2 linked regions of the Styela clava genome follow. The protein of the gene in region 1 purifies or fractionates together with the protein of each later gene. This does not show direct contact. Links are inferred from orthologs where the notes say so. Each region holds a gene or a part of one and is shown on either strand. Other genes may lie near its edges. The genes, in order: kinesin-like protein KIF13A and disks large homolog 4-like.

Region 1 (8,258 bases):
AAATTATTCAATCAGTATAATAATTTTGTACCTGTTTGTCCATAGGCAAATATACAGGCATTGTATCCAGTGAATACATTTGTTAAGACATCAAATCCCAATTTCTCAAAGACTGATTCTTGTGTTGCAAATTTATTTTCTTGAGATGGATCCATTGACCAAAAACAATGATCAAAGGCAAAAGTCTGAAAAGAACAAAAACGAAATAATATATAAAGAAATGTTTTTCAATAAAATATAGATTTGAAATATATTTGCCGGAATTCAAGCAGGGCATTCAAGAGAATGTTATCAACAAAACTTTTCTCGTTACATTACTAGGAACAATCATTTTATGTTATGTATAGTATATGGATATAACGACAACAGGTAGGCTATAATAATATTATTTCAATTCTCGCCCATAAGTACAGCGTTACATCACAGCCATTGTCTGAATTATTAAACATGCCACAGTACACTTGAAAAGCAAACTCACAGCTTGTAAGGTTGTAAAATTTAAAAATGCAGTTTTCATTATGGTTGCTAAGGGTTACCACAGTCAATCAACGTGAGAACATAGATATATTGAACTTTAATTGCAGATATATGTTTGGTGCCTACTTGATCTAGAATACCATTAGATGCTGTTTTCCCTTTGAAATTCAACACATGCTACTCAACACTGGTATTACCTATTACGAGGCCAAGGTGATAATTAGGCATAATTTTGCTTTATGGTCTTTCGGCAACCAGCACTAGCAGATTATGGTAACTTTAGTGTCAAAGTCAAGTAATATTAATTGAAATTCAAAGAATAAAAAACACAAGATTCTGAGCTTACCTTGGTGTGTTTTCTGTTCACGATACATGAAAAAAAAATTTAATGATTATATTGACGCAGTGGTATAGGCCAGCCAGGCTCAATGATAGAGCAATGATCATGGAGAAATTCAATTATTTTGTACATGGTAATCAGCATAGATAGATTCTTTCTATATTTGCTTATTGAAGCAGGGTCACCAGCACAGCTCAAAAAAGAAAATCCTTCAATATCAAAATGAAGGACACTCCTGGTATGTCAAGAGTTATCAACAACTTGAAAATACATTTGAATCTGTTCAAATCAACAAAATCAGCAATTTAACAGCTGTATAAAAGAGACTTCCAAAAAAATTCTCGGAATTACAAAAACTATGGTCATCAACAAGCTTTTTAGTGTCCAACAACATTTTTTTAGTGTCCAAAAGTTAAAACACAAGAAGAACATACTGGCACATGAACATAAGGAATAGATTTAAATAATAACGCTTTAATAACTGGCAGCAAAATAGCAGGCAATGAACTCAAAATAAGTTCAAGTCCATATAAACTTGGGTACTTAATTTAATCTGGATTTTGATATGAATCAATCATATGAATAACTCATTTCAATTTTTTTATTTTTATAATGAGGCCTGGTAACTTAAAAATAATTTCAACAATTATACAATCATCCATGTCAAAAAAAAATTAGTTATTAACATGTGAAACTAATTAAACATACTGTCATATGAAAATGGCAACTGATCAGTACTGTAATATTGAGGAATTTATTAAAGTTGGAATTTTTTTCCTCAAAGGCCCTGTAGTTGAATGTACAACTATTAATAATATTGACTGCAAATAATATTTTTTGATTGTAAAACATTGCATTTTGTTGGGACAATCCCAGACAATTGATGAAATCATGGCTTTTAAACTAGTATAAAGTTGGTCAATATTAAGAAGAAAAGGACCATAATCCCCAAAGGGCATCTCAGGTCGTTATTATTATGACGCAAAATGAGAGACCATGAAAGTATAAATAGGTTTCTAACTAGATATTTCTTATTAATATTAACTTCTTTAATAAGGTATCAGTATGATTGAGATTTAAAAAATGATTGAATATTTGAATGTCAGTTTCTTTTAATAATAGCACATCATAGTACTTTAATATAGTTTTCTAGAAAAGTCATTACAAACAAACATTTCATCATTATACACACTATATTTCAATATATATACTATATGCAATAGCAGCAGCTACCAATGAAATATTTGATCAAAACCATGTGGTAATTCCCATGAAAATATTTACGCTGATAAACTTCGACAGATTCTGCTATGACTTGCAAGAACTGCTGTTGATTTAAAAATTATTCAATTCTACATATGATATGTTCACAAATAATTATATATTGATGTAATGAATTATTTTCATGAACCACACACATTACATCAGCATCGAACACTTGTAGTACAAAGACCAAAATGGTTCACCGTTCAAAGTTCATTCAAGTGCTCAACAACTACCTCAGTTGGCTACTAACAATTTTGTACTAGCTTGCCATGTAATTGGGGCGTTCTTGTGAAAAATAAACACATGTCAGATATACAAACAATATAAATATAAAGCAAAACAACTTTGTTTGTATAAGGGTATTAGGAATAGTGACACATCCCAGATAACAAATATAACATTAAAAAGGTTAATAAAATGTTCCAGTTTACCCTGGAATTTCAGTTTGACAATGCAGTTCACAATCAAATATAGGTCAATTACAACAAATTGCTAACATTTGCAATAGTAAATAACTACGGTATACTTAATTTTGCAAATACAGGAATCAATATATAATAGTTAAGAAGTGGGAATGCCAAAAACGAAAAATATAAACTTGGGAAAACATATACGATTTGTATTGTTCCAAATTTACAATGAGGCAACTGAGGTATTTGTTGTGCACTTGAATGAACTTTGAACAGTGAACAGTCCCAAAGATTTTTGCTCATTGTAATGTAACAGCAATGAAAAAAACATATATATATATATATAAAAAAATTATTAGCTTACTTATCAGGTGCCTTTCCTACAACAGGTGGAGGAAGCAGAATAGTTTGATTGTCTTCCATATCCACAACACAAATTGAATTCAATTCAATCTCTGAAAATAATGTGAAAAGTAATATTTCCTTATGAGAATATGCACAAAGCAGGGTCACATACACTATCTGTAAATTGATGAAACTTACTTAAGAGTAAACACGCAAGAGATGTAAGCCAGAGTGAACTGGGACAAAGTTAAATTTGGTTGATGCACAATATCAGATCTCCATGATATGTGAAAGCATGAGACGATGTACAGAACCCACAAAATCGAACTCGCAAACCTCAGATTAAATTTGGCAACGACCATAGTAATGTTGTTTGTCAGAATGCTATTTATATTATAATAAATAAATTTACACAAGATCCCTTCTTTAAAAAGTCGTCACCACATACATGAATAATAAATCTTTTGCCTCACCTCTTTTGTTAAAAGGTCTAACTCGCACGGCCACATTAACTTTTGAAGCTGTAGCAGGCCTTTTATCTTCATCTCCCTTACTCATCTTGATTTCAGTTTCAAATTGGATATAAATTCTTGTTAAATCATCAGTTACATTGGTTGTTATTTGCACAAGTTTCGTAAGTTGCAAGATAAAAATCCAAACAGAGTGAGCTGGTAAGTCTGCACACCTCAGTATAAGTCAAATGTGTTAAGCAACAGTTCCATAAATATTTCAAGTTAACAGAAAAAATAACAAAATAAGACAATATTAATATTAGTACTTGTATATATTGATAAAATGAAGACAAAGCGTTGTACAGTAGAATAGTTGTAGGTTCGATTACTCAATTTTTTGCTTGCCACCTACAGATAGGGATGCCACTTTTGGTCCTTGGATTTACGCGATTCGGGAAAATAGAGCGATTCACCAAAAAAAAAACATTGATTGTTTGTTAATCGTTGTTTTCAGCTGCATTAAATCTGCCGAATGCGATTATGCGGCACTCCAAATTATGGGATGGAAATGAAAATTTATTTTTCGTGATTGACTTTTTTACTGATCCGCCGTCATTTGTTTCAAGTTCAGCACAACACACTCTTTTACGTATTACTCGAGATGATGTGTGGCGTAATTTCCCCCAGACTGCAAGTTCAGTTTTCCATGAATTTGATGACACACATGCGCTGCGACTAAGTTATGGTACGCCCAGGCATGATTGGATAGAGAATCAGCTACCGACGACGATATTTAATTTTAATTAAAATTTAATTTGAACATTGTTCTGAGTGGAATATTTCGCGTACATTTAAAAGAACTATTAGATATTTACGATACTGCGATATTACGATATTTCTAGCAATGTCATAACGACAGATGGAAGTAGATAATACTTGAGGAATGGCAACTTGTGCACTGTTTTACATCAACACGTGCCAGATTTCATACCAGACCAAGCATACTGTGCGAATGTCGTCTTACTTTAGCTCCAGCTACCATGTTTGATCGAGATACAGCGTCGCCGACGACCAATTAATTATCGCTCGTCAGCGCCGCGTCCATTATGCATATTTGGACTTAATTACAAATTTAAACATAGTCCACAATAATAATAAAGCCTGAGTTTGTCAATACAGCAATACGCTGTTAGCCACAAAATATTCGCATCTCTGATATTTCAGTATTAATTTATAAAAAAAATTTCTTTCTCGCAGTCGTAGTAGTCAGTTGAACGAATCTTTTTCTTAAAATTAATTTAATTTATTCGTGGTCAATTTTATCGTCTTCAAGCATATTCTTGCAAGCATTTCCCATTTCAGAATTTATAGTAATTCAGATGCAATTAGAATGTTTTTTGTCGTATTACTGAATGCTGCTTGCATAAATATTTGCCAAGTATCTCCCTGTTTAGCATGCTCTATCACGATAATGAGCCTATAAAGAACAGAGATGGTACTCTGTTGGTGAAACTCTCCTTTATGCTGTTATGTACCGTATTTTCCCAACTCTGCAACTCACAAATTATGTAAAAAAAGGCAGCAGGGGTTTCGCCTCTTTGTGCCTAAACCAGGGAAATGTTTTAAATTGTCATTTACGCTGGTTTAATATTTAATTGTTTAATTTTTTTTGCATTCACCATGGCATACAAAAATGGCATAGGCCTAGTACTTGTAGTACTGTAATAGGCTAAAGCAGTGGTGCCCAACCTCTGCGAGCATGTCGAATCCCTGTCAGTGCTGTTCTAACTGACTGAACTAAGTAACGATGGGATATCTTTGTGCAGTCAAGACAAAACCAACATAAAACCAACACCAAAGACATAAGTAGAAGTATAACCTACCGTAAGTGAAATACCGGTACGCATTATTAGTCTATCCTACCAGTATCTGTATGGTACGGTACCGTATCTCCAGTACCGGTATCTACTATCTAGTCTTACGTTACGGTACCTCCTGACCTCAGTTATCTATAAACGTAGTTTCCTGGCTGTCGTACATAAGAAGTTGACGAAATTGCGAAGCTTCATTACAGCGAAATTCGGAAGAGTTCATTAGAGTGAAAAATCTAAAGTCAAGTCAAATTTGTGGATGTTTCTTCAAGCATCGATTTCCTTGTTTATTTCCGTAACAATGACGAATCATTAAAAAGTCAACATTTACGTAACAATGTGATTTTTGAAGCCGATCAGACACTTTGTTCGCCCAGACACTAGTAGTTAAGTAGTATATATTTACGCTCAGACTTATATACATGCATGGTTTTTGCGAATTTTCGTGTTATTTGTCCGTTTTTAGTAGTTTGAAAATTAGTTGCGAATGAAATATTTTAATTGTCATTAATATTATGTCTTCCGATGAGCTTCAGTTCAGTTGCAATAATCAAAAATTAGTCCCGGAGAAGCTGCGATAGACTATACGATACTATATGCGATACTAAACTATTAGTATCCTACATATAAATCAGTTTGTAAGTGTCAACTCTCCAAAACACTCGCAAAAGTCAAGGATCGGGGAAACATCCAATATCATCATTATTTTTTTTTATATATTATGTCAGGATTATGTATGTTAGTCGTCGAGAAGGATGCATGGAATTTAACTGGTACTGAAATGCCAAACCCCATATTAGTTTCAGAGATTTGAAGCAAACGCTGTGATATTTGCCGAAAATTCGAGAAAAAGGGCGTCTTTGTAAAATTAAATATGCAACATTTGGTGTAGGAATCTTGTTTTTTCAAAATAAAGTGCTTAGTGTTGAAATCTAAAAAATATCGCGCATCGATGTTAGGTTCAAAATCTAAAGCAAAATAGTAGATTTAATGAAAAGTCGAAGAAGGGCGCTTCCTAGCAATTCAATTTCTTTTGATAAAATGTCCCACATTTGGAGCAGAATTTTTTTAATATTATATAAAAGTGTATTACAATTAACTTATTTTAGAATGTAAAAAATTATGCACATCGATATCAGTTAGGAGATATAAAACAAACAAAGGTAATATTTAACAAAAAATTGAGGAAGAGGCGTCTGTAAGTCATTCTCTTGCGATTTGCTAATATATCTCATAATAGGAGTCAAAATAATGTTATTATTTTATGCTGAAAGACATTGAATTTTCTTTGATTCAAAATGTAGAAAATGATGCACATCCATTATATTTTATGAGATGTCGATATTTAACGATAAATTGAGAAAAAAGGACGTCTATGGACCTCTCCCCGACCTTTGGCCCCCAAAAAATTCCTTCTATGCTTTACCATTGCAAAATTTCCGGGGCTATTTTAAGAGTGCTTTTGCGAGTTGGCGCCTGTAAAATGGGGTATGTGTTTCAAACCATTATTATGATCCATCGCATACAACAATCTGTTTTTTAAAAGTACCGGTAAGGATTTTTAGCCTAGCCTGTCACAGCTATTTCGACACTAATATTTATTATGCAATTCAAGAGTCCTGCTGCACACTAACACAAATATATTTCTGTAACGTTTCTTCTGACCAAAATCAGACTTCCTCAGACAAGCAGTTGTAAACTAGCAGTTTTTATTAGCAGCAGGAAGTTTTTTCCCTGCTACAGCATCCTTGCATTACATGCATACGGATCCACTAGCGCAAAGGCATAGAGAAAGGATTGGGAGTTAGTCTCGCGCAACCTCTACTGATCCTAATATTTATTACTGCAATTAAATTAAAACTCGCAAAAAGACAGAGTTATTATTGAATTATCTAATTTATATTTAAGTTTCCGAAACACAATTAAAAACTAGCGAATGGAGTTCAAAAATGCAAAAACAAGGTAATGTTTACCCAGTATGTTCCCCAGCTTTTCATTTCAGGGGGGGTGTTTCGAAATTTAGGGGGTGGTAAATAATTTGCTATTAGCGATAAAACTATTTGTATTCTTAAAAAATTGGTATGTATTTAAGAAATGATGTACACGAGAGGCACCCCAAGTTGATTGACGGCGAGCCAAAACACACAACATAATAAAATTGTAGGGCCAGAAAAAGGGAGCGATGTAAAGTGCGCGACGACACGGCTGGGGTTCAGGGCGCGCTACAAGCGCCCTGAGAAAATTTTGAGAAATAGGCACCAAAATAGGCTCTAAGCTTGATTTTAGATACACCTAGCATGGCAGTTTGTTATGTGATGAAAATAATAATTATAATATTTAGCTGATAGAATTCTCGAGAAATAAATAACAAGCACGGCTTTCTTCAAGTAATTTGCAACTGATAGTGACTAATGAAGTTACTTGCTCATCTAGCATAATGACTACAATTATGGCTTGTTTTGTTACACATTCCACATTATTTTGAACATGTTTGTTTGACTTTTGTATGAATTAAACAATGAATTAAATTTTGAAATACGCGTGTCAACTGATCATAATGGCGCATAATGTTGTATTCCTTCAAAACTGAAATATTGGCATGGAAGACAAATTGCTGAAGTTTGATTCTTTTCAATAAAGAAATAAAAACGCTGCCATTCATATAAAAAACGTCTGTTTTCAGTGCCTAGTTTTCGTTTTGTGACATCTTTAAGCTTTCTTAATATACGGCTGATATCTAAAATACTGCAGTGTGTAATCCTAAAACCAATACGTATACATAAGATACCGGTATAATTCAATTGTTACGAAATAAACGTGCTCAAACTGTGATAATGATGTAACGATAGACGGGATCTAAAACTCAAAAGGTACCTCATGTGTTAAACTATTAAACTATTTTGGCGGGCCATTTTAAGTCGTTGCGCGGGCCGTAAGTGGCCCGCAGACTGCGGTTTGGAACCCCTCACCTACACTGATAAATGTGCCATAGTCGTTATATTTGAATACATTTATACTAGAGTTAGGAATTACAGTGTGGAATCGCACCTCAAAATTAGGGGGGTGTTTGAAATTTTAGGGAGGGTGGGGGGGGGGG
Region 2 (8,474 bases), on another chromosome or scaffold:
GTGTAACCCAAGCTAATTTGCAAATAGTATTCATGGTACCAAATGTATCACACACTTTACAGTAATTATAAATTATATTTGAAAAATAAAGCACATCAAAAATGTATTTTCAAAAAACAATTTCTTTAGTCAAAAGGCACACTTGATTCGCAAAAATTTGTGAATGCGCACAGTACACCAATTTGTCTAATGTTTTGATTCCATAGGCAGGATGTTGTGGATCGGTGCTGCTCAGGATGGGATATTTTTGCCTCTAAATGCATATTATGTGTTTCACATGAATCCATCGTGCTCAGATTCGACTGTTTTCAAGGTCTGAAGGCTCCAACAGCCTTATTTTATGGGTACACAAGAGAATTTTCAGTGTGGCATGCATGGGTCAGTTGGAGTCACTAACCTCAAGATATCTATAAGCAAGGATAAGATAACCTGGAAGTAACATTCCATAATTTAGAGTAAAAAATGTATCTGCCTCCACAGCCCTTTCAAATGAAAGATATGATGCCTCGGGGGTAATTTCTATCAAATATTTTACAGTATTATGGTTCTAGTGAAAAGGGGTGTGGGCGTTTTTTTTTAAGTGTGGTAGGTCTAGTCGAAAGACACATTAAATGTTTATGCTAACAACTGCGAATTAATATTGCAACGCATACAAGTTAACAGAATTTGTTGAAATGGTCCTGCCTTTTTCCTTTCTTCAAAATCCTCCTTTTTCGAACTATTCTCTTCTTCTCTGGGGATGGCGAAAATTCAAATATCGATGGAACATGTAAGCAGCTGATAATGGGTTATCTTCCCTTTTCCTGAAAATAAATTAAACACTAATCATCATTTGACAGTGCCAAGTTTGTGTATCAGATCAGTAATAAATTACCTGCTAACTACCAAAATAATCAGACAACACCTTCTGACCATTAATGAAGATTTCTTTCAATTTAAAACGCAACTATGCCTACCAATGTGGGTAGTTTTTAGGATAGAATTTATCTGTGGTTGGGGACAGATTGCAAGGTGCAACATCGTACGATTACCATTCTATGTCGGGATTAGTTAGTCAGTTATTTGTTTTAGAAGCATGGACTTGATGGTGGGGTATGTCGTAATCGCCCAGCGGTCGTATGAACCACCCTCAGTGGGAGGAGCTGCAATCTCCTCGTCCCCTCGCACATAACTATCCCCGCATGGGATTGGAACCTGTGAAACTCCCATCTGCCCATGGGGATCAGAGATGCGGTGGCGAGCGTATTCTCAGATGGAAAATTCAATTGAATTCTGGTTATTTTTTGCATTAGCACTGGCATTAAACTTTAGTTATCTATTCAAATTTTCACAATTACTAATAGATTACCTGCTAACTAGGGAAACAATACCTTATGGCAATTATTGATTAATACCTTACACGAGTCAAGTCTGCAAGTAGGCCTAAGCCTACCAATAACAATAGTTTGTCATCTGCTTTCCATTGAAATGAGGGAGCTTATGAATATTTAAAAAAATTGATAACGGCACATCATGACTCACCATCAACGAAGTGCTGTCCGCAAACAGTGAAACACGAGTAAGATGGCTTCTGGACTTGACACCAAGCAGTCCTGCCAATAGATGATATCCACATTGCGCGACGTTCCGGATCTTTTGAAAACAGTGGAATATAGCTGAAGTTCCATTTCGTTGTCTATACTATACGTACAGCCAGCGGAACAATACGAAATAACCATTTTCAACAGCCAAACAAAACGGAAACGTATAATCCGACTTGCAACTGACAGGAGCCAAATGGACGTTTTTGTTTTATTGCCGTCCAGTAACAAGGTCACGTGACCCGTGCAAGTCCTCTATAAAGGGGTTTAGTCAGAAAATTACAAGCATTCGTGGCTCCAAATACTTGAGAGATCAGACTATACAATATAGACCGGTATGAGTGAAATGTTAGGTGAACTTGTTAACCTTTTGATTCAATACGCAAATAAAAGTGAATGAGCAATAGTATGTTACAGCAATGAGTATATATCCTCACTGATTAAAAAAATCTAAATGGAGGTGCATGAACTATTTGAAACCATAAAGGTTAGGTAAACATGCAATTTCGGCAAATGGGCAACTACGTATCGTGCTGAATTAATAACTTCGTAGTATTTGACAAAAGCTGGCTTTTCCAGATGTACTTAACAGTGCGATGCCCGGGTGTGATATACAACAATAGTATTCACCTTACCTTTTTCCGATTTCTTTTTACCTCAACTTTCCAAAATATCATTAAAATTGATAACAACTGTCAAAGCAGGCACGAACACCATTTGTGCTATACCTTGAAAACAGCACACATCCGCTCGTTTTCGTCTCGTCAAGTATGTGCATTGGAGCGTGCTATTGGATACGATCTTCGGCCAAAAATGCCGGAGTTGCGCATCATGTTGTTTAATGTCATTGGTCCCACAGTCCCACTTTTTAACGTCTTGTCCCGGCGTCCCGACCGGTCAGTCAAAAGTCCCGCTTTGGCGTTCAGCCAGCGAGCATAATACACCAACGTTAACAATTAGCAAGTTCTTATGAAGCCGATGTAAATCGGTGTCATCAATGACGTCACAAATGTCGTTTTTTTTTTCTTAGGCCTTATTAATGGAATTTGCCACTGACCAGTGATAAAAGTAATAAAACGAATTTGATTCCATTAGTTTTCATGAAAACGGTGCTAAAGGAAATTTATGGGAGTAGAAAAAGCACATACAGATATTGAGGATAACACCGATTACAAAATTCGCATCGACCTCTAAACGACTTCCAGTGAAGTTAATTCGCCCACTGATATTTCAATTATTATATTCGTCCGAAACTTCATGCTCGATAAAGATAGGATGTGTTTTATTCCCAGAAACTTCGCAATTCAGCAGTACGGTAACCCATGTAAAAAGACACAAACGGCGGCTTGTTCGTTTCAGTAGAGATGTATGGCCTTCTGTTTTCTTCACGATTCAATTTTAGTATTTACAGATTTAATACCCAAATTACGAATATAATATTGTGCAGTGACATATATCACCGTCTTGATTCGCCATGTTGAGTATTGTATTTAAAATTCGCGTATTACGCGAAGTGTGAGATATAATCGTGGTTTGTTTTATCCCGCTGCCAAGTATACCGTAGGTATTAGAGCTGTAGTACGTGGTTCAAAGAGCCGAGTTCAAAAATGCTCGCTAGCTGTGTGATGCCTCTATAATTGATGGACAAAATGGTCAGATGCTCAGTCAATCTATTAAATACAGAAAATAGGTTTTGGAACCTAAAGTCTGAATGTTGTTATAATTGATAAATCTGTACTAATAGATTTTGTATCTTTTTCATGTAGTCCAAAATCCGATCAAATATTTTTCAGTGTCTGATATAAAGTCCCTAAGCCTCAAGTTGCAAGTGCAGGAGTACAGGGGTCCTAATCCTGCAATCTCATTCTTGCATTGGGTCTAGTATAGTTTATTACCACAAGTACTTCCAGTGGGCGTAGCATAACGATTTATGCATATGTTATTCCTAACCCTCACCTGACTATGCCATCCAAAAATTACGTCACAAAATTACGTCATAGGGATTGCCAAAGTATGATTACGATTGCCCGAAATGGCATCTGCGCCGCCGATAAGAACTTGCTAAAGTCTCTCTCTTATCGCGATCGTTGCGACGAGAAAACGAGAGAAATAGCTTGCTCGATTTCGGGTTATCGTCTGCGCGTTTTGGACGACCATCCGCATACTTCGGTGGGCCTTATTACGCCACTGTGACGTCGGAATGACGTAATTTTTCGCTGACGTAGTCATGTGGGGGTTAGGATTGACATATGCAAAAATTGTTGAGCCAGGCCAACTAGAAGTGGATGTGGTACTAAACTATACCAGACCCCTTGCATTTTCGAGTCAGTATATTTTATAAACAACAGTGAAATGGATAAAGGAAAACTTAAAGTTCCTGTCTAGTGTCAGAGTGTTAGACCAGCATTATTTTGTAAATCGAATAGAATTAAATCGATAATATTTACCTAGGCATCAACACTAAACAATCTCTTGTTATTGGCGCAACAAGCTATTGAATATTCGGTTTTCCCATATCACATAAATTCATGCTGTCATGGGATAATCTTATTTCACCAGAATATTTTTGAGTCAATTCAAGTTTCGCTGGTGGTGTTCAGTAAGTTTGAGTAACCTGAAATACCTTCATTTAGATCAGTGCTTAGGTCGCATCCCAAAGCTGGGTCACTTGGAAATTTTGGGGTCGCTTAGTTTTTAACAAAGGCGATACAGTTATTGATTTTATCTTTGTAGTGAATTGAATTGTTTATTTTGGACCAAGTCTGTACATATTGAAGTGTTGCTCAATAGTAGTCTTAAGTGTATATATGTCTGTATGTGGGAAGTATCATGAACTAAAAGCTTAAATCTATTTTGCCTAAGAAATCCACGTACAGACGTACAATTTCAAAAATTTGTGATAAGAAACCAATACTAATGTTTTTTCATATTGGTAATTTCAATTGTAGGCATAGATGCACCACTTGTCGTTTGGTATCTAAACATATCTTTGGGTTGCAAGATTCAACAAACTTTTTCTTTCAAGATTCAACAAACTTTTTTTTTTATTTTTTTGAAAAATTCAGATCACTTGAAAAGAGTTTTGGTTATCACTGATTTAGATAACTCATGTCATTGAAAAAGTGACCAGTGTTCGACTCATTGTACTAGAGTCTTTAAATTGGATATGATTATGTTATTGCATTTCGCTGTTTCATATGTCCTGAATTTTTGTGGTCCAATGTTTCCTTCTTTCATTGATATCAAATTTTCAGGGTATTTTTGAAATTTCAGTTACAGAACCCACACGGAGTAATGTACCTCCCATTTTATGTTTCTATGATATTACTATATTCGGGACGTGACTGAAGTTGAAGATGCCTGTAAGAAAGCAAGGTAAAGATATTTGTATGGTTCTATGGACCACAATTCAGTCAGATTCATTATGTCTTGGAGACCTGACCAGCCATGTGTTAGAATACTATCTTTATGCTCATACAGTCTTATAGTTAATTCCAGTGGTTCTCAAACAACGTGGGCATAGACAATTTCTTGGGGAGCGTGAAGCTAATTAAAAATAAAAAATATTTGTTAGATTTGATCTTGCTTGCCCCTGTTTGTTTTAAAAACTTTACATTCATTCCATTATTTACATTCCATTCACATATTTTCAATGTTTTGTTTTTAACAAAACATACTTTCCTCCTACTATCTGTTATTTGTAGCCTATTGTTAGCTAGTTATTTTGAGGTTGGGCGCGAGACTAGACAAATTCTGAAAGGACTTAAAAAGTTTAAAGAACCACTGGTTTATTCTATAGTGAACTGCTAAGAACTTAAAAATTAAGATTTTCTGAGAATATTAGCTTTTCAAAGGTGCTCACGATTTATTTTATTACCAATCAATTTTTTTCTAAATGTTTTTAGATGCTGACCGTGCTCTTGCCCTTCTGAAGCAATATCATTTAAAACTGAACAAACCTGATGATAGTCAGCTAAGAGATGCACTTGAAAAAGTCATGGATATTTTTAGAAGTGATTTATTTTACGCTCTCTTAGGTATGTAATATATTTGACCATTTTACCAAATTAAAATTCTGTTTTAGTGCTTGAATATCATTAAATTTTTTTATATTCAACTGTTCTTTTACAACATATTAGTCAATTTGAACATGCATGATCTAAGAAAAAAAGTCATTTCATTTTTTTTTTCAAAGATTTTGGAGCTTGACTGTCATAAATTCAAATTTTGGATCTCATTATTTTTTATCACTGCTCAATGTTTTTATCATTTTATAATATATTGTGATGCTTTTACTTGTTTGTCTTACTATGTATAATTTCCATGAAAGGTTTCACATGTTTGTTTCTAACAAAGCTGTGCTAAACCGGCTACTTGAGAGGGGTGTGTGTTGTGAAACATAACTGGCATTGCTTACCTAGTTACAACCATGTTGAGGGGATGGATAAGTGATCCCTGACTAATGGCACCACCATATCTGAGTCAAATATCCACAATAGTGATTGATTAATCATAACAAGACTTGAAAGCTACAATAATATCAGAATACATGATTTACTCAAAATTTTTTTTTGAATTGATCTACCATAGTTTTGTCAATATACTAGATGTGCTGAATTTATTTTGTTTGGTTTGCAATGATTTTTTAACATCTATTTAACAACTTCCACTCATGATTATTTGTTCAGATTCATTGATGGAATATTTAAAAAATTGAAATGCGTTTTGTTTTAAACTAGGTTTCCTACCTACTTTTTATATTAAGTTCATACTTAATATAAAACTGATATTATCTTATCACATCGACTATCACTGAGATAGTAAGTTTATTGAAGAAGGGATAGATGTTTTTTAAATGGATGCCACATTTAGTCAAGTATGTAGATTGAGCCTCCATGAGTTGTAATGAATTATCTTATGTGGCTATCACAGTTTTGTCAGCAGTCGATTCACACTTTGTTTGTTTTACTTGTGCTCTATCTATGCTATCATCCTTGAGGGTATAGTTCACTCAACTGGTTAGACATGAGAACAATTTTAACAATTTTTTAACTGCACTTTTGTTCATCAAACCTTGGGTTTATGATTTGTAAGTATGGTTCAATGAGGGAAACTACATTTTTTTACCTAAAGTATGAAAAAATATAAATTTTGGTGATTATAGGCCTACATGTAGGGGTGCTGTTTAGGATGGGATGACACAGTTTGTTTCATCTGAAAAGGTGTGAATATTACCTTATTATATTTTGTTCAGATATTCACGAATATTATGAACTGACTATAAAAGAGTCTTCAAAACATTTGGAGCAATACTATCATCAGCAACCTGCTTCAAACAACTACGGCTCTATTAGTGGAGTCAAGGAAGATGGAAATTTACCAACAGAAGAATTCAGAACAAACCGTGATCATGTTCGGAGAGAATATCAGCTCAGTACCAGTGCCCTTACAATGGAACATGTGAGTAGCTGCTATGGCCTCCTATACCTTCTTGTGTATATAAATTCAAAATGGGAGATTTGAGCATTTAGTAATTTTTTTATAGATTATTGTTTAGTCTTTGTTTTCATGTCCCGATATTCGCTATATTTGTTTGAAATAGGTTATTTCTTCAGCTAAAAAAAGGCTTAGAAATAAATTTTATATTTTATTTTTTAAATGTAATTATGCAAATATGCTTTTTTGAATATCTTGTGTAAAGATGTCTGAAGAATTCAAATGAAATGAGTCTAAAAAACAGTTAAAATTTCTATTATTCAAAGAGAAATCATGTTCAAGATTTGCGTAATCAAATGACTGTTTTTTGTGAAATTTATTGTTTTTAGAAGAAAAGCCATTTAGAATATTCTATATTAAAATTTGCCAAATCAGAATCCCAGAATATCAATATTGGATAAAACTTTATACTTGTAAGCCTATTTATTTATTGCTTCATATAACTAGCTGAATTGCACAGAATTCCAAATTCATATCCGTGGTACAGTGCCAAATACCATCTGTAACCCTTCAGGATTCTAAAAATTATATACAAACATGAAACTGCAGCAGTTAATTGCACTCATTGTGCAGGCTTGTTTCTAAATATGGATATAAGGGAAAATGCAGACTTCGTGTAAGACCTGCGCAGTTTTGCAACTCTTTAGTAACAAGTTGGCTAAAATGACTTCATCATGAACATTTTTTATAACTTCCTATCTATAGTGAATTCAGTTGTCAAACTCATGCAACACAGAATAACTGATTGAGCTATGCAGTGCATTGACAGCTTGACACAAATGACACAAATACCTGTATCTGCCACTCACTTATGTTGTATTAGGAATTCCCACTGGGTAAGAAGACATGCTTTGACATTAAAAGGACGGCATTATTCCTAAGATTGATATGTTCAAGATGATTTTTTATTGAAATTTCAGTTCTTTGAAACATGAAATACACTCACCCAATGGAAGAAAAACAAATTTGCTATCATATTTTAAGATTCTTTGAATCTTTTTTTCTTGCTAATTGGAATTTGCATTTTTTTGATGAGTCTTCTTGTCTTATAATATTGTTGCGGTATTTGCCAAAGCTTTTTACATCCATTTACTATGCAGTGTCAATGGGGATTAGATTGGCAGAGGACTGACAGTGCCAGGTTGCTTTTGACAGGTGCCTGTTGCAGACTGTTGAATAATTTATCCCCATTATAGCCTGGTTGTTGTGTGCAAAAATATCTTTTCTCCTGGAATGTTTTCAATTCTTAGAAATATTTTTTCAATCTTGGCCACTTTTCTAATTTATAGTTACTGCCAAGGGTATTTTATTTCGCAAGAAAGTATAATATTCCATTAGAATATAATGGAAATATGTCAAAGGCATCCTTATTCAAAACAACACTTGACATTGAATGGC

The links.
Region 2: the proteins of kinesin-like protein KIF13A (region 1) and disks large homolog 4-like purify together in Drosophila melanogaster (affinity purification with western blotting; 3 studies listed by BioGRID). This does not show direct contact. The link is inferred for Styela clava from reciprocal best matches to the Drosophila melanogaster genes Khc-73 and dlg1.

Annotation. Positions count from the first base shown.
Region 1 is NC_135255.1:951,353-959,610, reverse strand, and holds the start of kinesin-like protein KIF13A, read right to left. Parts: upstream 3,543-8,258; 5' UTR 3,397-3,542; coding exon 3,312-3,396; intron 2,949-3,311; coding exon 2,858-2,948; intron 837-2,857; coding exon 824-836; intron 186-823; coding exon 32-185; intron 1-31.
Region 2 is NC_135256.1:22,010,042-22,018,515, forward strand, and holds the start of disks large homolog 4-like, read left to right. Parts: upstream 1-4,830; 5' UTR 4,831-4,936; coding exon 4,937-4,955; intron 4,956-5,485; coding exon 5,486-5,617; intron 5,618-6,834; coding exon 6,835-7,040; intron 7,041-8,474. UniProt on the Drosophila melanogaster protein: During embryonic development, some isoforms are essential for proper neuronal differentiation and organization. Required for cell polarity; maintenance of apicobasal polarity.